Drosophila melanogaster: one gene and its partner. The protein of the gene in region 1 purifies or fractionates together with the protein of each later gene. This does not show direct contact. Each region holds a gene or a part of one and is shown on either strand. Other genes may lie near its edges.

Region 1 (3,279 bases):
AGCCGACAATCAAGTGGCCAAGGGAGATGTTCTAACCGTAGCCCAAATTGCTGGCATAATGGGCGCTAAGCGAACCGCCGAACTGATACCCCTGTGTCACAACATCAGCTTGTCCTCCGTGAAAGTGCAGGCCACTCTTCTGAAAACCGAACAATCTGTGCGGCTGGAGGCAACCGTTCGCTGCTCGGGCCAAACTGGAGTCGAGATGGAGGCACTAACTGCAGTTTCAGTGGCCGCTTTAACTGTGTACGACATGTGCAAGGCTGTTTCTCACGATATCTGCATCACAAATGTCCGCCTGCTAAGCAAATCCGGCGGAAAAAGGGACTTCCAGAGGGAGGAGCCGCAAAATGGGATAGTTACAGAAGTCGAATAAGTCGAATACCCGACTAACCGGATTAACCACGATACGGGGAATGGAAAATAAACTACTGCTTACTTGATTTAGCCACAAATATTAAATTAAAAGACTTATGAAGCAAGAATACATAAGTGTAAAAATGTAGATGAAATCACTTCCTTATAGGAAACTAATTTGACTAACATACCAATAAAATGTTTCAGAACAAATGGCATAAAAGGGATAAATAATCATATAGTTTATATAGTTTTTGTTTCCAGTCGGTGGATAGAGGTCCATCCATTTTCAGATCTTGAATGAATCACAAGACACATGACTAATTTCAATCGGAAGTTTAAGGTATCTTTAATTCGTGGCCAGAGTGGGTTAAGTTTAAATGAGGGGAATTGATGGATAGTGTTGGTGTGAAGGTGCGATTGGAGGCGTTTCGCGAACTGCGCCTTACAGCTAGAAGTACATACAACATTAGAAGTGTTCAATAAACGCGGATTATCGCTCGCAAATCCTGGCAGAGTTCCCTCTCAACATAGACACAATAAATACGGTGTGGTGAGGTAATCAATCGCTCTCAGTTGAACACCAGGACATTACGGTTCTCCGCCTTGTCCTCCGCATCGTCGCCCTTGGCTCCTTCGGCAACCAAGTGTTCGCCGCGAATCTTGATATTGTGCTCCTCCTTGAACTTGTTCAGCTCACTGCCCTTTTTGCTCAGGTCATTGGTGACCATTTGGATGGTCTTGGCGATGAAATCCTTGTTCTCCACCAGCTGTGGCAGCACCTCCTTCACGGTCCTTTCGCACAGCACACCACCAATTTGACGAAAGCATTTCCGTTCGGGATCCGCCGCCTCCAGAGTTTCTATCACAGTTCTAGGGAGGATAAGGAGTTATGTCATTGTGTCTGCAGGGATTCTCCCACTTGCCCAAAATCACAAACAGACGTGTCATCCATCTTTGGGCCCCCGGTGACTCACTTGTGTTCCCTCAAATCCATTTCGAGCGTATTTAAACTGTTGACCAAATTGCGCTGCTCATTGCGCAGCTGTTGGAACTGGGCCACAATGGCCTCCTGGCTGAGTGCCGGCTTCGCCGATTCGGTGCTCATTGCAATGTTCGCTATCCAAAAGGACCCCTTCGAAATCTAGACCGGGATAATCGCTTCAAATTGGCGATAATCTGCGATTTTCTTTCAAAATACGAGACCGAACACGAGGACTATGCGATAAACGTCCTAACAAATCCCAAGCGCGTCAAGGCAGTAAGACCGTAAATGTATTGTGGAAAAATGGTGTAACGGTAAAAGAAAATATAGCACAACTTCAGTTACTTAAACATAAGTTAATGTAATAATTTATAAATTAATAGTAATTCTATATAAGAATTTCAATTTTATTCTTACTTATAATCAGATTATAATAACTTCAAGCTTTATATAACTTCAAACCCACCTGCTATCAAAAGTCACGGTCATTTCAATGGTAATTACTGAATAATTTATAAATTTTAAAACTAAGTTGGATACTCTCTTATTTAAGATTTTAAATACAAAATTTTAATATCATAAAGACAATGAAATTCGTCACTAAGTAGACGACATACATATGTTGCTTACGTTTCGCGGTGAATGTCATATTTGAATACACGTGCGAGTTGTTTCTAACGCCGTTTATTTTATTTAATGATTTTTATCTAATATATAGCTTTAGAAAATATAAAATCATGCCGGCAGCAGTGGCCACAGGTGTGCAATTCGGTGGACCGCCCAAAAACAAGAAAATCGTGTTCGACGACTCCGGCGAGGCGGTAGTTAAACAAAACAAAAAGGAGCACCCACAAAGGCCAAAATTTGAAGGGAAGGAACAGGTGAAAAAGCCGCAGAAAATTAAGTTTGGAGAGGATGGAAAAGCGAAAGGTGCTAAGTCCTTTAATAAGAACCACCAAAAGCCGGATTTTGCCAACAAACCACAGAGAATAAAGTTCGGCGATGATGGAGAACAAGTAGCTTCCAAGTCGTTCAACCAAAATCATAAAAATGGACCAAAACCACAGAAAATCAAATTTGGAGAGGATAGAGAAGCAGTGCATCAAAAACCTTTCAACAAAAACAACCATAAACATAATGGTCAAAAGTCGGACTTCGCCAATAAACCTCAGAAAATCAAGTTCACTGATGATGGAGAAGATGAAGTAACTGCGAATTCTTCCAACACAAAGACGGAACCGACCAAGAAGTCCCAAAAAATCAAGTTTGGAGATGACGGAGAGTCCAAGGAGAACTTTAAAAAGCCCCAACGAATCAAGTTTGATGAGGATGGAGCTGGAAAAAATGTATCCGACAGCGATGGAGACAGTGATGAGGAACTGGGGGACTCCATTTCCAAAAAGCACAACAAATATCAGTCAAAAATAGATGAAGACGAGGAGTCCCAAAAGAAGTGGTATCATGTGGTATGTTGAAACTAAACTGAAATCGTGGAAATAAATCATTTATAGTTATCACTATCGTATCTTAGCATCCCGACTATCCGTCCACCGATGAGGTGCTGGACATGAAGGAGAACGATCAGCTGGAGCTGTACAATCTCTGCAAGAATTCCTTCGAAGCGGAGAAGATAACTTTTAATAAACGTAAGACTTTCTCGACTCGGAAATTGGAACCCCTACTAATGTTTTTATCTCATCTTTAGGTAATCCCTCGGATGCTCGCTGGTTGCAAACCGCTCTGCACAAGGGTACTGCAAAGGATCGGGCCAATGCGGGCGCCCTTCTGGTGACGAGCAATCCACTGGGCAATTTGGAAGCATTGAGCACTTTAATTGGCTTCTGCAAGATCTCCAACAAGGCCAGCAATGATGTGATTGCAGTGCTCACGGATTTGTGGCAGGAGGTGCTGCTCCCGCCAAACAGAAAACTCCTGGC
Region 2 (3,288 bases), on another chromosome or scaffold:
AAATTCGATATTCAGCAAGCCGCCATTAAATTCTGTATACATATTAATAATCGCATATATCATTTTGATGCGCTATATTAAAATTTTTGTCTCACTATCAATACCAATTAGTGTATCATTTTGGATTAGATATACAAAATACCTATATACACTCGATATACTACTACTAATACACGCACACTCACCTCACTCACACAATCACCAACTCACGCATTCGATCACTAGCGAAATTACTGGACATACTTCTCTCGAATTCTTAATGGAAACCAAGGCAAGGTATGCTGTAAATACCTAGGAAAGTACTATATATACATGAATATATATATATATATTTAACAACTAAAAAACATATATATACTGCATTTCAAGAAACTTTTGATATATTTTCGAGTTTTTTAAACCCTTATCTTGTATACAAAAAGGAAGCGAAAGCGAAAACACGAGACAAACTAGCGAATCTAGCTGAAATGAACACCTAGGACAATTACAATTACAAGTACATAGCGAAACACAGTACATACAGTACATACAGTACAGTACAGTACATAAACACAACTATATATACAGGACATACACGCATACATTCAAACTATACTATTTATAAATGTACATCTATACAAAATATACATACATGCATACCATATAACGTACGAGTATGTTTAACGATCAATGATTATTATTACGAATTACGTCCCTTCGATTTGATAATGAAACCAAACGAAAAGAAACCACAAATTTTAACGCTGTTGATAACCAAAACCATTCCCACTTATAAATGTAACACTCTCTCCCGACAACTTTCTCTCTATCTCTTCACAATGTTAATGCTGCACAATGAAAACTCTGCATTTAAAGTAAACCACTAACGTTTATTCGTTTCGATTCAAGAGAAAACCAAATTATATATAACTAATTATACAAATTTGCCTTGCGATTTAACAGCGAGCACACGATATTGAATCCAAAATCCAGATGGGGAGCTTAAAATATCCGCGATTAAGAAATCGAATCGACACGCCCTCAAAAGCAAGATCTTCTTCATTGTTTCAAAACGAATTACATTTTATTAAGATCAAAACCAAATCAAGGTAAATGTTATGTATGTATGATATAGTGGGAGGATCGCGAAGGACGAGTACAGTTAGTTGTATGGGTAAAATAACATAGTTAAAGCATATAACTTAATAGTTCAAGGATCGGAGGAGCAGCGATTGCGAGTGGGAGCGCATATAGAGGGGAACGATCGCAAGTATCGGAACTAAAACTTACTTCTACTTAGGCTTAAAATCATTGTTATCTAATCTATACATATATAAAAACCGACATACAACACCCCACATATAACAGAGAATATGTATATGAACATGTATTGGATGCGCGGCGCTTGAGCTGTGCCTACTTATATATATATAAATATATATATATTTAACAAATTGTAACGTGTATATGTAGCGGCAGTGATTGTTAAAGAAATTGCTTTGTTTTGTGTTAGATTTTATAATTTACGAGAAAACCAAAAACAAAAATTGTAAAACGCATACAAATACAGAATGACTGACAAAACACAGAATTATAACATTGCATATAATAAATACAATAAAACTATAATTGAAAAACAAGTTTGGTTAATGCTTTTTTGCTGAGTAAGATCTGTCTTTAAACTCAAAAGATATTGTAGATTCAGAAGTCACTGATTTTTTTTTTAAATTTTTACTTCGCGCTTAGTACTCGATAACAAATCGTCGGCGGGACTGGACTACCGACTATTTCAACGAATCATTCGATTCCCGATTGCTTCCGTGAAATCGATATTTTCTGACCCAGCTTCATGACATCCCTGTTGAGTTGAATACGCAAAGGTGGCAACCTTATACGGCGACTGAATAAAATAAAAGTGGAATTGTAAATTATAAGTGTAAGCACTAGCAATGGCTGCCACCCCAAGCGCACCCGCCAAGTCCGAGATGATCGACCTGACCAAGTTGAGTCCGGAACAGCTGATTCAGATCAAGCAGGAGTTCGAGCAGGTGCGTTCCGCATGTGGGTGTGTGATGAGTCAAGTGTGCTCGCGGAGGGGGTTTCTGGAGGAGGGGCGCCCCAATTGGCACATGCTTCTAAAATCGGTACATTTTTGTGATCCTTAGGAGATTACCAACGTACAGGACTCGCTGTCGACGCTTCACGGCTGTCAAGCCAAGTACGCCGGATCCAAGGAGGCGCTGGGAACCTTTCAACCCAATTGGGAGAACCGTCAGATCCTGGTGCCCCTGACCAGCAGTATGTATGTGCCAGGACGGGTCAAGGATCTCAACAGGTTCGTCATAGACATCGGCACCGGCTACTACATTGAAAAGGTGATTTACATTTCCAATCGAACCTAGAATATTTATTGATTGCCATCTGTTTCTCAAACAGGATCTGGAAGGCTCCAAAGACTACTTCAAGCGACGCGTGGAGTACGTGCAGGAGCAGATCGAGAAAATCGAAAAGATCCACCTGCAAAAGACGCGCTTCTATAACTCAGTGATGAGTGTGCTGGAGATGAAGCAGGCTGCTGCAGCGAAATTGCAGTCGCAGCAGCAATCGCAGCCGGCGGTTACCCAGAGCTCCTAGACTACGGAGAACGACAGAGACACGAGACACGGAAAGCATTAAATTATTAAACTTATTAACGAGATGTGTGCATTTAATTAACGTAGTTTATTAAATTGTTCAGCTATTTCTTGGCTTCTGCCAAAGCCTTGGTGAGAACCTTGACCTTCTGCTCGTACGCGGACTTAAGATCCTGTAGGGAAAGAAGGTAATAGTATATCAAGTATATCATTGGACTCGAGTTATAAGGCACCTTGAATATCTGTGACTGGGTGTCGTACTCCGAACGCAGCTTGTCATACACTCCTTTGGAGATGGCTAGTTTCTTCTCCGTGAGCACACACTTGTCTTGCTCCGCCTTGATCCACTGCTGGCTCTTCTCCAGACGAGCCTGCGTGTGATCACATTCGGCGGTCTTTAGCTGCAACATGTCCTTGGTCACCTGCAGCACATCCTTAATCGAGTCTACTTGTGTCCTAAGCACTGATATCTGCTGCTCCTGCTGTTTGTTCACCTTGGTCTTCTCGAACAGCAGGGTTTTGGCCTTTAGAAGCAGCTCCTCCTGCTCTTGTCGTGATTTGGGAGCATCTGTGCCGCCCAGCATGACGGACTGCTTGAGCGACTGCTCCAACTGGACCACTCTCCGCTTTAAACGCTCATTTTCCGCCTTGGCTTCCTGCAATCAGGGTCAGTAAG

Evidence for each region.
Region 2: the proteins of Pfdn2 (region 1) and Pfdn5 purify together in Drosophila melanogaster (affinity purification with western blotting; 2 studies listed by BioGRID, with this or other methods). This does not show direct contact.

What each region holds. Positions count from the first base shown.
Region 1 is NT_037436.4:11,072,782-11,076,060, forward strand, and holds Pfdn2 (prefoldin 2), read right to left. Parts: upstream 1,608-3,279; 5' UTR 1,466-1,607; coding exon 1,335-1,465; intron 1,231-1,334; coding exon 930-1,230; 3' UTR 511-929; downstream 1-510. Other genes in the region: Mocs1 (molybdenum cofactor synthesis 1), read left to right, coding at 1-376; Noc1 (nucleolar complex protein 1), read left to right, coding at 2,080-2,808, 2,874-2,988, 3,048-3,279. UniProt on the Drosophila melanogaster protein: Binds specifically to cytosolic chaperonin (c-CPN) and transfers target proteins to it. Binds to nascent polypeptide chain and promotes folding in an environment in which there are many competing pathways for nonnative proteins.
Region 2 is NT_033777.3:22,485,366-22,488,653, forward strand, and holds Pfdn5 (prefoldin 5), read left to right. Parts: upstream 1-1,673; 5' UTR 1,674-1,928; coding exon 1,929-2,027; intron 2,028-2,144; coding exon 2,145-2,354; intron 2,355-2,415; coding exon 2,416-2,613; 3' UTR 2,614-2,716; downstream 2,717-3,288. Other genes in the region: CG5376 (uncharacterized protein), read right to left, coding at 2,717-2,785, 2,846-3,268. UniProt on the Drosophila melanogaster protein: Binds specifically to cytosolic chaperonin (c-CPN) and transfers target proteins to it. Binds to nascent polypeptide chain and promotes folding in an environment in which there are many competing pathways for nonnative proteins.